Linked DNA regions of Tribolium castaneum. The protein of the gene in region 1 purifies or fractionates together with the protein of each later gene. This does not show direct contact. Links are inferred from orthologs where the notes say so. Each region holds a gene or a part of one and is shown in the gene's direction. Other genes may lie near its edges.

What was found.
Region 2: the proteins of Max (region 1) and Sin3A purify together in Homo sapiens (affinity purification with mass spectrometry; 3 studies listed by BioGRID and IntAct, with this or other methods). This does not show direct contact. The link is inferred for Tribolium castaneum from reciprocal best matches to the Homo sapiens genes MAX and SIN3A.
Region 3: the proteins of Max (region 1) and RYBP purify together in Homo sapiens (affinity purification with mass spectrometry; 3 studies listed by BioGRID and IntAct, with this or other methods). This does not show direct contact. The link is inferred for Tribolium castaneum from reciprocal best matches to the Homo sapiens genes MAX and YAF2.
Region 4: the proteins of Max (region 1) and Nipped-A purify together in Homo sapiens (affinity purification with mass spectrometry; 6 studies listed by BioGRID and IntAct, with this or other methods). This does not show direct contact. The link is inferred for Tribolium castaneum from reciprocal best matches to the Homo sapiens genes MAX and TRRAP.
Region 5: the proteins of Max (region 1) and Brd8 purify together in Homo sapiens (affinity purification with mass spectrometry; 3 studies listed by BioGRID, with this or other methods). This does not show direct contact. The link is inferred for Tribolium castaneum from reciprocal best matches to the Homo sapiens genes MAX and BRD8.
Region 6: the proteins of Max (region 1) and chromobox protein homolog 3 purify together in Homo sapiens (affinity purification with mass spectrometry; 3 studies listed by BioGRID and IntAct, with this or other methods). This does not show direct contact. The link is inferred for Tribolium castaneum from reciprocal best matches to the Homo sapiens genes MAX and CBX3.

What each region holds. Positions count from the first base shown.
Region 1 is NC_087396.1:13,930,743-13,934,871, forward strand, and holds the start of Max (protein max), read left to right. Parts: upstream 1-1,329; 5' UTR 1,330-1,680; coding exon 1,681-1,719; intron 1,720-1,797; coding exon 1,798-1,869; intron 1,870-3,530; coding exon 3,531-3,641; intron 3,642-3,722; coding exon 3,723-3,846; intron 3,847-3,889; coding exon 3,890-4,062; 3' UTR 4,063-4,079; exon of another isoform or gene 4,080-4,129. Other genes in the region: atl (atlastin), read left to right, coding at 424-546. UniProt on the Homo sapiens protein: Transcription regulator. Forms a sequence-specific DNA-binding protein complex with MYC or MAD which recognizes the core sequence 5'-CAC[GA]TG-3'. The MYC:MAX complex is a transcriptional activator, whereas the MAD:MAX complex is a repressor.
Region 2 is NC_087396.1:24,654,453-24,657,952, reverse strand, and holds part of Sin3A (paired amphipathic helix protein Sin3b), read left to right. Parts: coding exon 1-347; intron 348-412; coding exon 413-1,077; intron 1,078-1,904; coding exon 1,905-2,089; intron 2,090-2,147; coding exon 2,148-3,203; intron 3,204-3,421; coding exon 3,422-3,500. UniProt on the Homo sapiens protein: Acts as a transcriptional repressor. Corepressor for REST. Interacts with MXI1 to repress MYC responsive genes and antagonize MYC oncogenic activities. Also interacts with MXD1-MAX heterodimers to repress transcription by tethering SIN3A to DNA.
Region 3 is NC_087396.1:24,591,174-24,594,871, forward strand, and holds RYBP (YY1-associated factor 2), read left to right. Parts: upstream 1-1,336; 5' UTR 1,337-1,440; coding exon 1,441-1,881; 3' UTR 1,882-1,951; intron 1,952-2,911; 3' UTR 2,912-3,198; downstream 3,199-3,698. UniProt on the Homo sapiens protein: Binds to MYC and inhibits MYC-mediated transactivation. Also binds to MYCN and enhances MYCN-dependent transcriptional activation. Increases calpain 2-mediated proteolysis of YY1 in vitro.
Region 4 is NC_087401.1:16,678,124-16,681,623, reverse strand, and holds part of Nipped-A (transcription-associated protein 1), read left to right. Parts: intron 1-971; coding exon 972-1,651; intron 1,652-3,500. UniProt on the Homo sapiens protein: Adapter protein, which is found in various multiprotein chromatin complexes with histone acetyltransferase activity (HAT), which gives a specific tag for epigenetic transcription activation.
Region 5 is NC_087396.1:10,840,535-10,844,534, forward strand, and holds the start of Brd8 (bromodomain-containing protein 8), read left to right. Parts: upstream 1-1,200; 5' UTR 1,201-1,601; coding exon 1,602-1,992; intron 1,993-2,113; coding exon 2,114-4,000. UniProt on the Homo sapiens protein: May act as a coactivator during transcriptional activation by hormone-activated nuclear receptors (NR). Isoform 2 stimulates transcriptional activation by AR/DHTR, ESR1/NR3A1, RXRA/NR2B1 and THRB/ERBA2.
Region 6 is NC_087401.1:16,339,791-16,342,599, forward strand, and holds chromobox protein homolog 3, read left to right. Parts: upstream 1-1,355; 5' UTR 1,356-1,512; intron 1,513-1,564; 5' UTR 1,565-1,570; coding exon 1,571-2,098; 3' UTR 2,099-2,309; downstream 2,310-2,809. Other genes in the region: beag (protein Red), read right to left, coding at 153-858; macrophage migration inhibitory factor homolog, read right to left, coding at 2,328-2,406, 2,451-2,623, 2,671-2,778.

The sequences.
Region 1 (4,129 bases):
GGTCCGCAAAAAATTATCGCTTAGAATAATTATTTTGCGTTTCACCTTATATTTTTGCATTGTTTCCGTCTTACTATTGACAATTAAATGCACAATCTGCTTTTATTTTTTGTTTGCTCTGTGTTAACAGTTATACAAATACAACCATTTTTTCAAATTCATTGCTCTGAAAACTTATGGGGGACGAGAACGTTTTATTTGTACGTCGTTTCATATCCTAAGCTTTAGATATCCGTTATTTTAGTTACACATTTGTTGTGCTATAAGTGCTATAACTAAAGATATCTTCTTTTTGTAGCATGCCTATTTTAGAAAGAGAAAAGAAAGAAAACGTATGTACTAATCAATTCTAGATACTTGCATGGATTTGACTAACGATTTCGATGTTTTGTTGTGTGAATCGTAATATTTTTATTTTTTCAGTCTATGAAACCCGTCGTACAAGCTTACGTCGAGAACGGTATGCAGCAAATGGCTGCCGAAGTAGCTGAAAGAACTGTCCTAAATGCAACTAATATCACAACCAACGGCAAGAAACAGGCGTGATAACATTCCCCCGTCTGTTACAATAGCACCCTAAAAGCATCGTTACATATTAACGCGTTAATCGTCACGTGATTTGGATTGTTGTGGATTTTGTCTTGCCATATATTGTGGAACATAGTATGTAACTTTGCTGATTATGTGATATCTTGGCAATGTTGGTATTATTGTAATTTATTTGTACATAACGCTTCTAAAAATAATACAATTTTATCTATTACGTAACCATTTTATTGTACACTGTTATGTAAAGTTTGCAAAATTTATTACATGTTCCATTGGTCAATCAGTTTCTCCGTTTAACTAGAGTAGTAATCGTGAACAGTACTGACATTGCAATATAATTCACCACCCAAGTGCCTTTTATTAACCCAATAATTGTTTTTACTGTTTGTCTTGTGATTTCGTATTGTGGTGTCCAAGTCTCCAGTACACTAATGATAAAAACGCATTTTTATTGTTACTAGTGAATAGATAAGACAAACTGAATTGAATGTTACTATTTCCAAATCAAATTTTATAACAATAAATATTATTTTTTTTAGACTGTTACGAACCATGTTATAATTTATTCAGCTAGATATGAACAATTTTTTTAGCTAACTGCTCAATTTATTTTTATTTTTTATTGTAGTTTAATTGAACTGTATTTGGTTTCGGTTATGAATAAATTTATTATTTTTATTTGAATTTTTTCTCCGCCCTTTTTTTGGTTCGCGTCTGGGCTAAATCACGTGCGCAACAGAACACGTGTAACCCCAACAAGTTGCACGCCTCAGTCGGTAATTGACGTTTGTTTTCTCAGCTAGGGTCGGTGCAAAATTGGGTACAAATAAAACGTCAGAAAGCTTATCTAAATCACACTTTTCGGGAAAAGTGCCCCAGAATCGCTAATAGAGTTCGGTGCTTGACGGTTTAGCGCCCCGTTTTGTGGAAAGTCGCCCCTATTTTGGAATTTTGTGACAAAGAACTGGACTTTCGAGTGGTTCTAGTTGGCCAAGTATGACAGGTCACGCACATTGTGCGACTCACGTCTAGTTTGCTCGTGTTGTGACATTTTGGGAAAAGTACAAGTCGATGGTTGTGTATTACACCTGAAATAAGCCGTTTTCACCTCAGGACTCTGTACTTCTTACAATGAGCGATGACGATCGGGATATTGACGTCGAAAGCGATGTGAGTAGTGTTGTTTATACACAAAACACCACATGGATCAATATTAACATTGATTCATTATGTACCCCCCTATTTCAGGAAGGTGACGATTCGGATTCCCGGCAGCCAACCCCCAGCAGACAATCCACTGGAAGCCAGTATTACTCACAGGTAAATTAATTGGCCACCAGTTCAGGGACGAATTTTCGTACTTTCTAATTATTTCGTTTCGTTTTTTGCACCTCAATATTCTTGATTTTTTGGTTTGTCTTCATTTATCGCAATGGAAATAAACACTGCTTTCCACGTAATTTTGTAATTATGCAACATCTCGAAATGAATTTACAATAAACAACTGCTGTTAGTTTTTTTATGGAAAAATTAGCTGTTGGTTATTATTTTGCAAGCTTCCGTTATTTAAGCACAATTTAATCATTTTAAAGAAGAAAGTCTTTATAAAATTTACTGTAGCTTTGAGCAACTGTATTATGCTTATTTTTTAATTATTTTTGCAATCGCAAAATCATTGTCCGTAAGGATTACTTTTGCATATAGAATATTTTTTAAATACAAAGCTGCAAAAACGTTCTTGAAGCTTAAAATCTTTACATTGTTTTATTTATTATCGCTAGATGTTTTGCACTTTTAAAATCACTAATTTAAATTTTCAGTAATCTTTTCTCTTCTGAGAATTTATGTAAATACAAATACATACAAATAATAGTACTAATAACGAAATCGTTCTTTTTTTCTTCGCCGTGTTATATTGTTTTGTAGTAAATTGACTACTATGCATTTAAATGACCTTAACGATAATTATTAGTCAAAGAATAAAAAAAATAACACTGTAGAGACTAGAACTGCTGAATTAAAATTTTGTGTCAACGTTGTGAGTCATATTAATATTTGCAATTAAACATTTGGTGACGAGGTTTGGCGGCAAAGAATAAAAGCTGCTTGATTTTTTTTCAAATTTGTCAATACATTGATAAGTTGATAACAGAAGTTTGTAGTTTCGAACGAAATAAATTCTTTTACGAGCCAGTTTGCAGAAAGCGGAATTAAAATTTAATTTAGAATTAAACTACATGATTCGAATTAAGTTGCCATTTATTTTGCATTATTAACCAACGTCACGTTAAATGAAAATATATTTTTTTATTGAAAAATGTAGCTGCTATAGAAAGTCAGCATTTTTTTGTTTGGAAATTATAATTTCCGCATAATGCGTGTAGTTTGACAAATCTTTGATGTCAAACGCAAAAAAACGTTTGAGTTGTAAGTAACTACATAAGCGTAAATACGTCGGAACTATTTAATAACAATTTGTTTTGAATAAATGCATTTTAAAAAATCAGAAAATAAAAATATTAATTTTTATAAATCATTTAAAATAGTATTGTTTTACATAAAGCCATGTTTAAAATAAAGAAAACTTATTTCACACGAAAATTATGTGCCTTAATTTAATTTTGCAAAACAGTTTATAAAAAAAATACAATGATAATAATTTGTCTTTTGACAATTTCATCTTATTGGTGCATAATTGTCTTTAAGAAATGGTTTTTGTTAAATTGTTTACTATTTGAAAAACTAAACATGTATCACAAAGGGGGGTGATGCCATTTACAATTTTGAAGAGGTTGGTGCTACAACTTTTAAAATTATAATAAAAGGTGTTCCTCTTCGTTTTGTGCCTATTTCAATTTTCCTAGTGTCATAGTCATTGCTGAGTTATTGCATTATGTAATTTATTTGGTCAGACACACAATTTAACCAGTAAAAAAAAATAAGGGTCTGCTTTGGTGTTTATTTGGTTGTATGCTGTTTAGGCTGAGAAGCGGGCGCACCACAACGCGCTGGAAAGGAAACGGCGAGACCACATAAAAGACAGTTTTAGCAGTTTGCGAGACTCTGTTCCTGCTCTCAACGGCGAAAAAGTGGTACGTCTGTCCGATTTTTCACGTTTGCTGAACGATTACTCGTAAGACAGATATCGTGGCAATTGTATCTTTGCTTTTTAGGCCAGTCGAGCGCAAATTTTGAAGAAAGCTGCAGAATATATAGTATTCATGAGGAAAAAGAACCATTCCCATCAGCAGGATATTGAAGATCTCAAGAGGCAAAACAGTCTTCTGGAAGCGCAGAGTAATACATTTTCTCAGACTTGTTTAAAATATTTTTTTAATAGTTGCAGTTACAGTTCGTACCTTGGAAAAGGCCAAAAGCACGGGTTCTTTTGGAGGGGAATCTTCCGACGGTAAAGATTCAAATTACAATGAAACCGAATCGGATACTTCAGACTTGGAAGGGTCTGTTCAACCCAGAAGGCCAAAGAAACAAAAAATTGGATCTTACCACTAGCAGAAGTTGAGCTGATGGTAATTGAAACTCGTTTCGTTTTTACTTTAACACTTCATGTTTAACGTAG
Region 2 (3,500 bases), about 11 Mb from region 1:
GTCGTGACTCCATTTTTGGGTAAATTCCCCGAATTGATGCGATGGTTTCGTGAATTTCTTGGTCAGAACGAAGTTGAACCGATGCCTTACAACGCCACACGAACTGAACGACCGCAAGGCGAAACAGCACTTGAAATCGATCTGACCACTGCGAAACGTCTAGGTGCGAGTTATTGCGTCATTCCACCGTCACAGGAAGGTCTCACTTGTTCGGGTCGAACTCAGTTGTGCAAGGAAGTTTTGAATGACCAATGGGTGTCATTTCCAACGTGGTCGGAAGATAGTACCTTTGTTAGTTCGCGAAAGACACAATATGAAGAGTACATGTACAGGTGTGAAGATGAAAGGTGAGCGAATTTATTGTTTATTTATTTTTTCACTTGCGTACTTAATTTTACTTTTTGTATTTTAGGTTCGAGCTGGACGTTGTGATCGAAACCAACGCTTCAACAATTCGTGTTCTCGAAGGTGTAAACAAGAAAATGAGTCGTATGAATGCAGAAGACGTTGCCAAATATCGTCTGGACGACTGTCTTGGTGGTTCATCTCCTACATTGCATCAACGCGCCTTGAAACGAATCTACGGTGATAAAGCACAAGATATAATTGATGGCCTGAAACGAAATCCTCAAACTGCTGTTCCGGTCGTTTTGCGACGACTCAAAGCGAAAGAAGAGGAATGGAGAGAAGCTCAAAAAGGTTTTAATAAGATATGGAGGGAACAGAACGAAAAATACTACTTAAAGAGTTTGGATCATCAAGGGATCAATTTCAAACAGACTGATGTTAAAGCGTTGCGATCAAAGAGTTTGTTTAATGAAATCGAGACGTTGTTTGATGAAAGACACGAACAGAATGAAGAAGGTGCCGAGCCAGTGGTTGGACCACATTTAGTATTGCCCTACAAGGATAGGACGATTTTGGATGATGCTGCGAATCTATTGATTCATCATGTTAAAAGACAGACCGGAATACAGAAAGGGGAGAAGAGGAGAATTAAGCATTTATTGAGACAATTTTTGCCAGAGTTGTTTTTCCATCCGAAGCAGCAGTTGACGGACGACGAACGTGATGACGGTGAGTGGTTTTAACTTTTATTTAAAAAAAATCTTAATTTTTATAACTTTTAAAAAACCTAATACCCACTCATAGTTGTCTGTTGAAGAAAACCTGAATATAAGACGGATAGAAAAAGAAAAAATATTGTTTGTCTTTTTTAAAACATATTCGAGTTGGAAGTGTTAAAATATCAAGAGCTATTTTTATTATTTGCGAATTATTGAGTCATTTAAATACCACCAGCAAAAATTTCAAATTAAAAACAAGTTGTAGCGTTCAGTGACACATGATGACGTAGGTCTGTACTTGACGTATCGATAATATAATGATTTGTAATACTAGAAATATGAGTGTTACAAATAATGAAAATTTATGTACATAAAGGCGGGTTAGTAATGAATGTCCTTGACCCACAGACGTTAATTTGTAATGTTGATACCCATTTCATAAAACACTTTCAAAGCGTTAATATACTCACAGTTTGTTTTAATAAAAGTAAAAGTTGAATAAATTTGTAAGGTAAATTTTTTCTTTGTATAAAATTGTTGCTACTATTTTTTGATTTATTATCAAGGAGGTTCTTAACTAAAGTTTAGTTAAGGATGATTAGGGATTTCGTTTTAGGTTGATTAAGTTTTAAGATATTTGGTCTACGAGTTTTGTTGTAGTTTTGAAGATGTGTAAAAAAAGGCTAGTGAAAAATCATTATATCTATTATTGTTTATTTATTATTCTTAAATATCGCAAGGTAATGTGATCGTTTAAAGCAAAAATTAATAAAAATTGTCACTTTTTATGAATATGAATTAAATTGTATTACCTATAAACGAATTGCTTTATTGCAGATGAAAAAGAGGATGGTGACGACAGCCCGATAAGCAGTCCCACTGGGAACAACTCTAAAGGTAAAAGCGAATCAAGTCCAGGAAAATCTCCCGGAAGATTGGACGGAGAAGTTGAAGTAAAAACAGATCCTGATTGTAAAGACGAAGACATCAAAGTTCCTTTACATGCTCAAGTTTCAGATCCGGTAAGCTTAACATCACTAAAAAAAAATTATTCTATAGGTTTTTTTTTCATTGTTACAGGATGAAGCTTATACTCTATTCATGGCCAATAATAATTGGTACATATTCCTTCGCCTTCATGCTGTTTTATGCGAACGTTTGGCGAAAATCTACGAACGTGCTGTAATTCTGGCAGCTGAAGAAGCAAAATCTCGAACAGGTCGTAAAGAAAGTACAGCCGTTGCACTTCGATTGAAACCAAAGCCTCAGATTGAAGTTGAAGATTATTACGTTGCATTTTTGGATATGGTTAAAAATCTCTTGGATGGTAATATGGACGCTAATACTTACGAAGATACTCTTCGAGAAATGTTCGGTATTCATGCTTATATTGCGTTCACTTTGGATAAAGTGGTTTCGTATGCGGTTCGTCAACTTCAGCACTGTGTGACTGAACGAACTGCAATTGCTTGCACTGATTTATTTGTCAAGGAACAAAAACGTGGAGCTACCGGAGGATCATGTTCTACAGCGCACAAAAGAGCTCATCTAGAGATGGCGTATCAAAGGCTAGGCGAAAAAGCTGTACAAGACGAGAATTGTTTCAAGATCTATATCTATAAGAAGGATTGTAGGATGACTATTGAGTTGCTTGATACGGATTCAGAGGATCCGAAAAAGGTTGAAGATACGAAAAAGTGGAGTTCGTATAAAGAGTGTTACGCGGATATAACACATGTGGACAATAAACCGCGTTCGCCGGTCTATTTAAATCGGAATTTAAGGTTGTATAAAAAACGTATGGGGCTTCATAATAAAACGTCATCGGTGGTGGAAAAAAAGAATAAACAACAAAGGGAAGAGAACGACGAACAAAAGAAGAATCAAGATGAAGAGAACAAAAAGACAAATAGGGCAACGACCGACGAAGCGGACAATAAATTTGCAATGTTGGAGGAGTTGGAGAGGAAGTTTAGCGAATGTCCTTTGCCTGAAAGAAATCAAACGGAACATCCGGGATATGAAGTTTCGGATGAAACGCAATGTAAATTTAATTCACAGGATCCGAAAATTATGTTTACGGTTAACAAGGATAGTTACTTGTATAAAATAAGTGCCTTTTCGAGAGCGAGAAAGGTAAGTTTTCAAAAATTAACATACTTTTACAAACGATTCAGAACCTTTTAAAAGTTTTTTTTATTTTTATTTCGGAATTTTCAAATTCTAAAAACAATTTGATAACTTTCTTTTCATTACTTTACGTTGGTAAAACTTTGATTATCTTTACATTTTTTATGTAAATGAAGTCATTTTAAAAGTAATGCTTTGGTAATTTGTGTCATTGTTTGTTTCAGAGTCATCCTGCGATAACGAAACGCTTGTCATGTAAATTTCGCGCGTGGCTGAAACATTGGGCAAGTGAGAACGTTAGTG
Region 3 (3,698 bases), about 11 Mb from region 1:
AGTCAAAACTTTGCCATGAATGCACCATCCAAGAGTCCTTGTTTTGTCCTGCTTGTACATTAGGCAATACCTTTTATGAGCCGGATTATAAAGACGTGGATATTGCCTTATATTTTGTAGAAATCTGTGTGAACCCGCTTATTGTTAATTATTTCGTGATAATGAGCGATTACCTTGAACGGAAAAAATGCAATAGTGTTGCTGCAACTGAACCCTTTGAATTTAATTACAGCGTTAGTTAAATTAAAATTAACATATTTTAATGAACGAATAATTTATGCGGCAGTAACGAGCGCAATTTTCCTATTTGGAGTACGGAGATTGTTCATAACAAACGTTGAATAAAATGCAACAATAGAAAATGCATTTTTCAAGGGAAATTTCTGCATTTCAGACGCAGTACTATTGTGATCATATCGGATTCTAAATTTATTTGTAGTACAGAACTAATTTATATAATTTCATTTATCTGATTCTATATCATATGAAATATGCTAATTAAACCATGATCAAAACAATTTAATGTTTTAGGTATTATTTCCATGAGAGCTTTAATTGTTATAGAAGATCTATCCTAGCTGAAAAAAAAGAAACGAAAAATTGTTGGAAATCGTAAAAATAGCAAGTGTTATCGTCAGTAAATTAACTTACAATGACAGGACACGAATAGGCATACACAGAAGAAATCCAATGATTTTATTATGAGAAAATACAAAACAGTTATGCAAGAATTTACTTGAGAAAGAATAAAATACAAAGCTAGATTTAAAAAAACCTGGTGATTTAATTTTTAAACAACAGCAATGACGTAGTAAATTTTTGTAAATGTAATAATGGAAAAATTGTCAAATGATGAAAATAGATAATTTTAGGCGCTATCAGCTGCTTTTTTGTTTGTTGCTCTAGGTCATACAAACTCCAGAAAAAACGCAAAAAAGGTCGCCATTTTCACTTTTTTTTTAAATTTTTAACCGCCGATTAAAGCGAAACTGTTAAACAGAGTCAGAGAAAAACGGTAAAATCACTGAGAATCGGAATAAAAAGCCCTACAAAAATGACATAGGTTTCAAGGCGATATCTTGAAAAAAAAATCATTTTTCAAACGCCGATTATCGCCAAACTAAAAGAGCTAGGAAAAATGCTTTTTTCCATCGTAAAGAGCACATCAAAATCTATCGAATAAGATAGGTTTTATTTGATAATGAGACATTTTTAAAATTAGCCATTTAAAAAAAATGCAAATAAATGCAAAACCGCTCCGAGTTTAGTTTTCCAGTTGTAAATTGAAATCAGCTGATTCCTTCGAATCAAACTCGGCGCCACAATGCTGCCACCCTTTGCCACACATGCGCACCATTCTCCTGTCAAACTCGAGTCAATCATGGCGTTAGACGTGTGTTTTGGCTGTCAGCAATCTCGTAAAAAGTGAATTATCCCACAATGGACCACAAGAAAAGCCCAATCCGACGCGCAAAACGTCAAGCAAAGGTGCTCGAGGAGAACTTCTGGGACTGCAGCGTGTGCACGTTCAGGAACACAGCGGAGGCGTTCAAATGCCTGATGTGCGACGTCCGGAAGGGCACCTCGACGCGCAAGCCGCGTATCAACCCGCAGTTGGTGGCCCAGCAGGTCGCCAGCCAATTCCTACCCGCCACCAGCCAACAGAAGAAAAAGGACAAGAAGGCGATGAAGAAACGGCGCCATCCACCAAGACTCAAGAATGTGGACAGAAGTACGGCGCAGACACGCGAAGTCACCGTCAACAGCGTCACGGTCATCATCACCGAGTACAAGCCCAAGAGCAAGTCCACGGAGACGATCTCCAGCTCCAGCTCTTCGGATCATGGATCGCACTCGGAGAGCAGCATGGACGCGAGGTGAAGGGTGGCGTGTCAGTGACTCGAAGGACAATGACGCCTGACGTCGACTTTACTTTGATTGTATATACAGGGTGAGTGATTAAACGCACCGTCTTTCGTTGCCCTCTTATGATTTAAACGCAAACAAACGACTAGTGGAAGCTTTGTATACGAAATATTTGCGATTATCAACTCCGGAAGTGAGATTGTTTTAAATATTTGTTAAGGTTATTTTCTCTTTTTTGTAGTGTAACATTGTTGTCTCTGTTTCATTATCTTGTGTAGTTCATAAAGGATTGTTTTTTTTTTCGTAAATAAATGCAATTATTTGATTATTTCGAATGCACACAATGTCAAAGAGACGCTTTAATTACTTATTAATAAATGGTCAGTAAAATAATAAATAATAAAGTAAAATAAAGTATGAAACGAAAACCAAATATCACTCAAAAAATTTGCGTTTATTGTAGCTTCTTTTTATTTCTTTGTATGTACTGTGTGAATTTTTTCAAAGCGTCATTAATTTAATCCGCAATTAAATTCGTAATCACGTGACTAAATTCTTTTTTACTGTAAATATAGAAATTTTCGCCGAATTTCATCATGAATCAAAAAATTATCAAATTTGTGTAAGGTTTTAGTGCATTTTTCAATCAGAAACTCACTTATTCGCGAAATTTGAATTCAAAAAATACTAAATTGGGTCCAAAGCACGAGATAAATTCGTTCTTTTTTTCCTTGAGGTTTTTTCATCTTGATTTTTTATATTAAAAAAAGCATTATTTCCACATCGGTAATGAAGGTTTTGAGACTTTTTTAATAAAAATGAAAGCGCGTTCAAGAGGAAAAAACCGACAACACCGTATTCACATTTTTTTTAACTTGAATGAAACGGAATCTATATGGTGTTTGATGAATCTTTCGGAAACCGGAGGTTTGAAAACTTTGAATTACTTACAACTTCCACTAATTGTTGGGCGCTTAAGTTATAAGAAGGGAATGAAAGAATCGGCGTTTAACGACTCACCCTGTATGTTTTTGACTATCATCAGAGGAGCCAACGGAGATAGTACTCGATTCCTAGCTGTCACTGCCCCAACCAGCTGTTGTTCAACGTAGACGATTTACTTTTTCGGGTTTCGAAGAAAATTTTATCGAGTAAAGACTGTGAAGGACTTTATATACCCGCATTAAATGCATTTATATTATGTAATAATATTCGAAATAGCTAATTTGTATTATAAATTGTTGCTCATTGTTAATGTATTTATGAGTGATGTCCGTATGTTTGTTTGATGGAAAATGGTGTGTGATGAATAAATTCGAAATTTTCTATTTTTCAGTGACTTTCATTTTTAATTTAAGTGGATATCTACTTGCCAATGCAACGTTATTAATATTTTTTTTTGGTTGTGTTGAAAACAGTCGCGTGCTACTTTCATAATTTATTATGTACTAAATAATGCATTAATATTGTTTACTTAAAAATAACTTATCAGATATTTAAAATTTCACGTACTCAATGTGTTTTAAAATTTAATGATTTATTTAGTGGTGAACCCAAAGAGTTGTACAATTGATAATGGTGAGCTAATAGGGGTTAGGGTTTTCATTCCATCTAGTATATGCATACACTTGAGTAATCGCCATCAAATTACCTGATTGTATAAGTTCTGTCACTAATAATATTGATATTAATTGGCCTTTTGAATATTAATTGTGTTACAACTTGAATTAATCAAAAATAATTGAAACGACTGATACCAGAAATCACAAATTACGCTTCACTTACGGTAAATTAATTAACATTCAGAATCAAATATGACAGACGTCCTCAAA
Region 4 (3,500 bases), on another chromosome or scaffold:
TGTTTTTCTTGACTTTATAGGATGTTTAATTTTTTTTTTCAAACTTAAAATAACTAAAATAAATGCAAATGTTGGTAATAATTATATTTCTGGCTTGAAAAACCTCATAAATCTTTCGAAAAGCTGATATTTTAAGTAATTTTTTTCGATTGGTCGAAAATGATGTCACGAACTTTTTAGTACTTTCCCGATATTGTGAGTCATAGGAGCCTTTGTGTACTTTTCCTATTTAAATAAACTACTAATTTATAAAGACTTTATTATTTATTCTTGTTTCATAATGTTTTTCTTGACTTTATAGGATGTTTATTTTTTTTTCAAACTTAAAATAACTAAAATAAATGCAAATGTTGCTAATAATTATATTTCTGGCTTGAAAAGCCTCATAAAACTTTCGAAAAGCTGATATTTTAAGTAATTTTTTTTTGATTGGACGAAAATGACGTCACGAACTTTTTAGTACTTTCCCGATATTGTGAGTCATACGAGCCTTTATGTACTTTTCCTATTCAGAAAAACTACGAATTTGTAAAGACTTTATTATTTATTTGTCTTTCATAATGTTTTTTTTGACTTTGTAGAATGTTTAGTTTTTTTTTCAAACTTAAAATAACTATAAAAAATGCAAATGTTGGTAATAATTATATTTCTAGCTTGAAAAACCTCATAAAACTTTCGAAAAGAAGATATTTTAAGTATTTTTTTTTCGATTGGGCGATAATGATGTCATGACTTTTTAGTACTTTCCGAATATTGTGACTGATACGAGCCTTTAGGATTTTTTTCCATTTAGATAAACTAAAATTTATGAAGACTTTATTATTATTTTTGTTTCATAATGTTTTTCTTCAAACTAAAAAAAATAAAAAAATAATCTTTTTCTTAACTTTGTAGAAGTAACTTCTTAAACGCTACTAAATTAGTTTGTAACTAGAATTTGGCAGAGATTGTTATAGTTTCGTTCCTCTTAGGTTGGTAGAATGTTCCCTCAGGCTGTGTACTTCCCCATCCGTACGTTATACCTAACTTTACGTACGGCAACAGCGCGTAAAACAAACACAGTCCAACAACAACCCCAAGACCAAACCGACACTCAAAATAACCAACAAGAGAGTGGCAACACTGCCACAATCACAACCAGCGAAACATCTTCAATCAAAGCAACACCTGCTATGATCCGCTGTTCAAAAATAATGAAAATGCAACGTGATATTCACACCACGGCACTGTCAAGTCTCGAAGGAATTGCCAATCAAATGGAGTGGTTTAGAGAGAATTGGTACGAAGAGGTTTTGAGACAGTTAAGGCAGGGTTTGACTAAATGTTACGCGATTGCGTTCGAGAATCGTGAAAGTGTAAATGAGGCTAAAATAACACCACATATACTTAATTTTGTGAAAAAGTTAATGTCGACGTTTGGCATTGGTGTTGAGAATATTGGTTCGGTGGTTACGTTTAATTCGGCAGCTAGTGAAAGTCTGGCCAGGAGAGCCGAAGCTACGTATCAGGATCCGGTGTTTAAGGAGATGAAGCAGGATTTTACCAAGGATTTTGATTTTTCGCAAACGAATTCGATGCGCTTGCATACGTTGATTTTTAAGCTGAAGAAGTGGATCAAGATTTTGGATAATCGTTCCAAGATGTTGTTACAGTAAGTACATTTTTTGGAAAAAAATATGTTTTGTCAAAATTTTGTGGTCTACCTTGTAGTTACGCTCACTCGTTTTGGCAAACATCATGATTGTTAAACAAAGTCGGTCGTCTTGAATAACTTTTATTTTAAAAACATGTTTTATTATGAAACACTTAAAAATATTAACTTGTCTTGTATTTCTTTAACAAAAACAAATAAGACAACAAAATATTTCAAAAAATAAAACAGGTAGGTAATTATTTGTCATTTATCCTAAAATGTAAAATTGTATCACACATTGTGTTGAGGAAAATTTTCTTGCACAATTATCTAACAAAAATATTTCTTTTACAAAACTTATCGCTTATCATAAGTCATATTTCACCAGAAGTAAAAAACAATCTAATATATTACCACACGCGTTTTTTCAACTTGACAGCCGCTTTATTGATATTTACATGATGACATGTATTTTGCAAGCGTAATTGCTTATAAATTAATTGAGATTATGTCATTTATCAGTTGGATTTTCTCATAAAAGGGGGAAAACAATTAGAAACTAATTCTGGGGAATTTGTAAAAAAATTTGTAAAAATAAATTGTAAACAAGAAAGGAAACACAGAAGAAGAAGAATGAAGCAAGATGGATAAAATAATAATTAAAATAAAATAATTTAAATTGTTTTTTAGGACAGGTAGGTAACATTAAAAGGGTTATTATAAGGTATAAAAAATCTACATTTTTGTAGCAAATTTACGAAAGCATAATATTTTAATCAAATTAACACTGGAAACGTTAATAAAATTTCGATCAACTGTGCAGCAAAAATTGAAGCTGTTAAATTTATTTTCTATGATAATTTGTAATTAAAATTCTTTGTAAAGCTTTTTAATAGCTTTTATTTTGTTTTGTTGTCAGTTTCATATTTTCTGAGTCAAGCTTTAAAGGGTTTTTATTGTCCGAATGAACTGTAATTTTGCATACTTACGTAATTTCCGTGACAATGCAATACTAATTAGTTCGTCACTCAAAAAGGAGGTTAACTTTTCAATTTTCGAAATACGGTTCAAAAAGGTGTAGAAGTAATTGTAAAAAATCTAACAGTTGAATTATTATTATTATTATTTTTAAAATACTTTATTTTTTTACCCAAAAACCTATATAAAAAAGATATTTGGAAGCTACCAAAGAGTAGCTTGAGCCCGTTATGTCAATGTAGAGTTAAATAAAAACTTAAGATTAAACTTAAAAAAACATATTTTGAACTTCAAAATAACCTGACTCTTGAGTTAACTTAGACTTTTCTAAGTTTTCAGGCCTGACCTGACTTGACTGTTGAGTTTACTTAGACTTTTTTTAAGTTTTTAGACCTGACCTGACCTAAAAATTGAGTTTACTTAGACTTTTTCTAAGTTTTCAGACCTGACCTGACTTGACAGTTGAGTTTACTTAGACTTTTTTTAAGTTTTTAGACCTGACCTAACCTGAAAATTGAGTTTACTTTGACTTTTTGTAAGTTTTCAGACCTGACTTGACCTGACTGTTGACTTAACTTAGACTTTTTCTAAGTTTTCAGACCTGACCTGACTTGACTGTTGAGTTTACTTAGACTTTTTTTAAGTTTTTAGACCTGACCTAACCTGAAAATTGAGTTTACTTAGACTTTTTTTACGTTTTCAGACCTGACTTGACCTGACTGTTGAGTTAACTTAGACTTTTTCTAAGTTTTCAGACCTGACCTGACTGTTGCGTTAACTTAGACTTTTTTTAAGTTTTCAGACCTGACCTGACCTGACTGTTGAGTTAGTTTAGACTTTTTCTAAGTTTCCAGTCCTGACCTGACCTGACTGTTGAGTTACCTTAGAC
Region 5 (4,000 bases), about 3.1 Mb from region 1:
ATCATATAATTTATGTTAAAATAGGTTTCACAAATTCTTGCCATGATGAATCCTAGCCTAGACTGAAATTATAAATATTGCTTTGTTACGTAATGAGAGTAGAGTATATGAAGTGTTTTAGTTGTAAAGGATGTAGTTACACACACTTTAGGGGTTAAAACTGCAATTCTGTAACGAAGTCTGTTATATTTTTACCGAAAGTGCTCATGCTGTTATCAAATTAGGTGACGTAACTTTGGGAAATGCTTTTGACGATGAGAGCGATTTTAACAAAATCATTTCTTATTCACAAAATTACGATTTGTTGAAAATTTCCTTCACAGTCATATTCACCTTATAAGTAGGGATTTTTTTCAGAATCATGTAAATAAATGTAGAAAAGTGCCTATTTTAAATTGCGCATCGCTACCCTCTTGGTCAACTATTAGAGTAATCTCAAATTATTTAATGTTTTAACTGTTGTTATAATTTGGTTTATAATTGAATAAAGCTGCATTTTTACAGTTTGCCCGCATTTCCTTCAACACACAAAAACATTTCAAACAAATTTATTCAACTACTATGTTACAAAGTAAACTATCATAGCGTGAAACACAGTAAGAGGACCGCAAATCCCAGACGCTCATACTGATTCATGATTATTGCAGCAACGCCAAAACGAAAAGCCGCTTTCATAACTCTTGCATTCCAAAACATTATTATCAGACGCAGCCAAGTTGAGGAAGGTCTTGTCACACTTGTCTCAAACGCTGGTGCATTCACCGGCTTGTCGTTTTTTCCACCACTTTTATGAAACACTCCATATTTGTCGATGTAATAACTGATTCGCCCTTCGGGGGCCATTCTGAATACTGTTTCCACCTTTTTTTTTTTTTTCAAAGAGTATCCTTACATTTGATTGTTATGTATACACTCACAACTTCTTTTTTTACTTCACTTTGGGACACTGGGTGGAGCTACCACCAGAAACAGCTTCCAAAGCATTCGAAAAAAACATTTTTTATTGCATTCCATTCGCAAGAAAGTGAGGTTAAAAATTTGACAACTTGCCACTAAAGTAGCTACCGCGCAAGCTACCGAAATACTTAATAACAGAATATGCCATAAAATTCGACAAATACAAAAAGGTGGCCACAATCTATATGTATTTGATAACATTAAACCAGCTACACCCAAAATACACTAATTAATTAAAAAACAGTCATTAAATTAATACTTTTCGATCATAAAAGCCCTCGTCAAAAATCACGGTCTGTACGTAATATCTAATAATGTCTGCGTATGAAATTTTCAAGATTATTAATTTTTATGAATAATAAGATCTTACGAAATTATTTAGACAAGTGTGCTTGAAACATTACATAATCTTACACTGATTGTGGTTGACTTTCTTTAAAAATCAGGCAAAACTTCTGCATAGTTTGTCCAGGTTTGACACTTTGACAGTTGACAAATATAAACAACGTTCAAGCTTGTTATAACGATAATTCTTGTGTGCGAATTTCTACTTCAAGAATGTTTATTCAGTGATACTATTAGTCACTTTCCTGGCAAGGTTCTTGTATTTGATTTTTGGACGTTCGGGCCAACATAACCTCAAAATGAGTTCAATTGAAGAACGTTTACAAATAAAGCGTGAACCGCTGGATAAATGGTCAATCCGTGAACAGTTGGCTCTAGCAGTGGCTCGTAACATGGACCAGAATTTAACAAGTGTGAGCCGAGCTTTAAAACCCTTTGGTGAACCCAACAGACCCCCTGATTGGTTCCACCAGAAGAACTGTGCAGCCCAGTATGGGGCTCTTTTAGCGAATGTTGAAACACCTAAGAGGAAGAAAAGAACGTCTGGGGGCGAAGTCACTATCGAAACCCCCGCCGAAGTCATTCTACGCAAACTTTTGGCCGAGAGACAAGCTGAGCTCAAGAGACTACTAGCGGAAGAAAAAGCAGAATATCAGAAATTGCAGAGAGATAAAGCTCTGCTTCAGTCAGGTATTCACAATTAAATTAAAGTTGTTTGAAGTTACAGGGGCTATATTAGAGCCTCTCAAACTTAAGACTGTTGCGGAAATTCGGTTAAGTATTTTTTGATAATTAATTGTTTTATTTAAAGGTAACGTAAGTGAAGAACAACTGGATATTTGGTGTAAGGAAATAGATGAAGAGGAACACAGGAAGGAACAAGAAGCCCTGGCACACGAACAGTGGCTAAAGGAGAGGGAGTTACGAAAACAGGAAATAGAAAGAGCGTGGAGACCAGTTAAGCCATCCCCGGTGATTGGTCAAAAACGTAAAAATTCCGAAGCTATGGACACAATCCCAGAGATGGAAAATACAACAGAAGAACAGAAAATCCTAGTGCAGGAGCCCCCTAAACCGGCCCTATCGCCACTTCTGACAAGTCTTCTGAAATCACCATCACAAGTTCCAAACGTTACAACTTCCTCAATATTGCATTCAGCGATTACCAACCAACGGCCAACCAACACAACTACTAGCCCCATGATTGCCAGTCTTTTAAGCTCCTCAACTGGAGAAACAGTTTCTCCAGGATTGCAACTTTTGGTTAGTACAGCTATAGGACAAGAGCCAACCGGAGAAGAAACCCAACAACAGAATGTCAATACTAACGATATCCTCGATGATGCCAATCTACAAATTTTGAAAATTGATGACTTGGCGAGCAGTATCTTGATCCAGAATGGCCCACTTCCAGAAATAAAGAATGACGTTGATGTTATCATCTCCGATTTGATTGAGAACGCGCAGGATATAGTTGCAGATCCGGAACAGCATCTACAACTGGATGGAAACGGTGATCTTAATCTAAATTTGGAACTGGAAGATTTCGAAGAGAGTGAAACTGATATGAAGGACGAAACCAAAGAAACAGAAAAACGGACGGAAACTACAACACCGGCAATAGATCCGTTTGAGTTCCAAGAAGATCCGGAAGTTTTTGAACCCGCTAAACCTGCAACAGCCGTGAAAACAGACGCTTCTAAAACTATGGTAGCACAGGACAGCGACGATCGGTCACAAACTACTGACGAAGCCCCAAATTCAGACAATAAACACTTAACTTCAAATGGCGAAGAATCTCGGGATGAACTGGTAGAAGTAAAAAACGAACCAACTGATGATTCCGATAAGAAAGATAAAAGCACAACTCCTGGATCCGTCGAAATTGTAGAAGTTGTAGTTATGGATGATGAGGATACTGACAAGGAAGTCAATAAAACTGAAGATCCAGCCCATTCCGTTAAAGCGGAACCAAAGAAAGAAACAGCAGGGGAAAGTACAGAAGTTGCGGAAATAAAATCAGAAACAGACGCCAAAGTTTCAGAAAATGAAAAATCTAGTGTAGAGATTGAGAAGAAAGACGAAAGGAAACTGGACGAGTCAACCACATTGACTTCCGACTATAACGAGGAATTGTACGACGATATCAATATGGAAGTGAAAGTGGACAAGACCGGGAAAGCAAAGCGCGATTATTCCAGGACGAAGAAGAAGGACGATAAAGAATTTGATGTTCTCTTGGCCATTGAAAAGGCGCAAAGAGACGAAAGTGAGTTGGTTGAAGAGAGTTTCTCTGACCGGGATTACAGCGAACTGGACCGTAAAGACAGCAAATCGCGGATTAAGAGCGAGAATGAAAGATCTAACAGTCCCTGGACGGAGGAGGAAGATGTGTCTACAATACGGACAAGGAGGCGACTTTCAACTCCTGCGACTCCGATTGATTCAGTTCCAGGATCACCAGTTTCCAGTATATATTTTTACGATGATGATCGGGAGTATCGCAATTGGAAGAAGTCTATAATGCTTGTGTATAGTAGATTGGCTGCAAATAAATACGCGTCACTGTTTTCTAAACCGATCACCGATGACCAAGCTCCAGGGTATCACAGTGTGGTGTATAGACCCATGGATTTGTTGACGATTAGAAAGAATATAGAGAATGGGGCTATAAGAACAACGCAGGAGTTTCAAAGAG
Region 6 (2,809 bases), on another chromosome or scaffold:
GAAACAATAAAAAGGTATATCTGAAAATGTTTTAAACGAAACTTAAGAAGATGTCTATAAGAATTACAGGCTTGAACAGCTGAAAATTTCAGACATAATCTATAATACGTAGTTTATGTGTAAAAATTGATAAGAAAAAAATTTATCTATACCCAAATCAATCACATAGGCCATGCGTCCGGGCACAAAAATCTCCGACCGTTCAATATGCCGACTCTTCAGCGCACAAATCGTGTGGTAAATCGACTTCCCAATCTTCGTCTTAAACTTAAGCTCATCCTCATCCTTCTTCTGCACCTCCTTCTTCTCCTTCTCCTCCGTCTTGGCCGCCAGCCTCTCCAACTCCTGCTCCTGCTCCTGCTCGATGTGCTGTATCTCGCTCCTCACCTTCTGCAACAGGGCATAATCCAGCCCCTTCACCAAATGCGTATGCTCCATATCGCCCCCCAAGAACTTGCTCTCTTGAATCATCTGTCGGCGCCTCTCGGCCGCATCGAACCCCGACTTCAGATCAGGCGCCACGGCACGATAGGCCTGAGCCGTGGCCACCGGGTCGTCGCTCTGGTAGTCGGGGTTCACCCCCTGGCGGCGCTCACTGGCCCTGTCTCGGTACTTCTCCGCCAGTTCTGCCATCTTATTGTCCTCCTGCTTCTTCAACTTGGCGTAGTAGCTCTTCTTCTTGCGTCGCGCCTCGTTCTTGTCGTCTTTGGGGGGCGGCATCGTCGACGAGTTGGCCATCGCCTCCCGGATGGAGCCGGGGGCGGGCGCGTTCGCGGGCGCCGACCGCGGGGTCATCAACAACTTGCGGAAGTCGTCGTTGGTCAGCCGCTGCGACCCGGGGGCCGCGTCCGAAGGCATTTTTAACCAAAAACTGGGCCTGAATGTTGCAACTAGAACTGTCAACTGTCAATCACATAACCTTGCTTCCTCCTAGCCAGAAAAAAATTACAGTGAACCACTTCAAATGAGACCAAATAGCCCCAAAATGCTAAAAACAAGCTTTTTGCATTTACTACAATTACTATCGCGAATAATTAACCAAAATAATCAAGGAAAAACAGCAAATTCTTGTCGATAACACGTAGAAAAAATTAAAAAAAAAACAACTTTCCAACCCTGTCCCACAACTAACACTTAGTAATTATTTAATTAAGTATTTTTGCAAACCTACACGTATTTTTTTTTGCAAACAAAATTTATCAAAGTTTCAAACCAAAAAGTGCAGATTCAGTTGGGGCGCCTAACCACCGTTTTTTTCATACTGGGGGGGCTTTACGTTACGGTGAATAAACGCAAACGGCTTGAATAATAAATAATTCACCGGAAATATCACTATTTGGGGCTTTTAATTCATTAAATTAGTAAATAGGGGTGTAGGAACCTGCTTGTTACCGGCGGAGCGCACCTCCGCCATGTTTGTTTGAAAATTGTGAGCAAAGCGTCTGTTTTGCGGCTTTTGAAGTTATTTTAATTTCTTGCACGAAATCCCTCCAAAGTTGAGTAAAATTCGGCGTAAGTGTGCCCCGTGCGCCCCCCGGTGTGTACAGTGTGTTTTCTCCATCAGGGCACAATGAGCAAAAGCAAGAGGACGAGTCCTTCCCCCGCAGACCAAGAGGCCAACGAAGAGTACGTTGTGGAGAAAATAATCGACAGTCGGATAAATGCGGCCGGTATTAAGGAATACTACTTGAAATGGATCGGTTACGACGACAAGGACAACACATGGGAGCCCGAGGAGAACCTGGACTGTCCCGGGCTGATTGCGGCTTTCGAGGCCGAAAGGGCCAACAAAGACAAGGAGCGCAGCAAGAAGCGCAAGATGAACAGCACGCCGACGCCCGACATGAAGGGGGCCAAGAGGAAGAACGACGAGAAGAAAGTGCACGGGTTTGATAGGGGGCTAGAGCCCGAAAAAATAATCGGGGCCACGGATAGTTCCGGGCAGTTGATGTTCCTCATGAAGTGGGAGGGTACAGATGAGGCGGACTTAGTGCCCGCGAAACAGGCGAATATTAAGTGCCCCCAAGTTGTCATTAGGTTCTATGAAGAGCGTCTCACTTGGCATTCGCCCACAAATGACGAAAATAAAGCCGAGTGAAGGCTAGTTGTAAGGATATTCATAATGTACATATTCAACACGAATTATATACTATTATTAGACGAAAAAATCATTTGGACTAAGTAGGCGTTTAGAATCTTCCCGTATTATTATTATTTGAATCTGACTCCCTAGCTGTAAGTTTAGTTTCTTGACTTAATCAATAGAAAATTGTAATAATTTTTTTTATTTGAAATAAAACAAAACACCATTGCTTCGTTATCACTTATCACCCGAAAATATCATGAAAAGTGGTCCCATTGTACCCCACATCGCTAGTCGGCGCGTTCACGAAGTGAATATACATCCTAGAAACACAAAAAGTACAAAACCACACCAAAGACCCAATTACCGGTCCTTCGAAACCCCCAATTCCTTGCACACAACTTCGTACAAAGCCTTGGCGTGCTTTTTGTTTGGTTCCACGCCCAAGGCGCCAATGCTCATCAGAGTGGCTTGAGCGGCGGGCTCACTGGTGCCCCCCCAAGACATGTGGACGTCTCCGATCACAGTAGCCACACAATACTTGAAAAAAATTGAGTTATTCAAAGTTGACGTAACCTCAAACTTACATTGAGTGGCTTTGATAAGGAATTTGAAACAACTTGGCACAATTTCTGAGGCAAATCGGACGGGATTTTGCTCTGGGGCACGTTTGTCTCAACGCGAAAGTGAGGCATTTTGCGGAAAAAAATTGGCGGTGTTTTTATA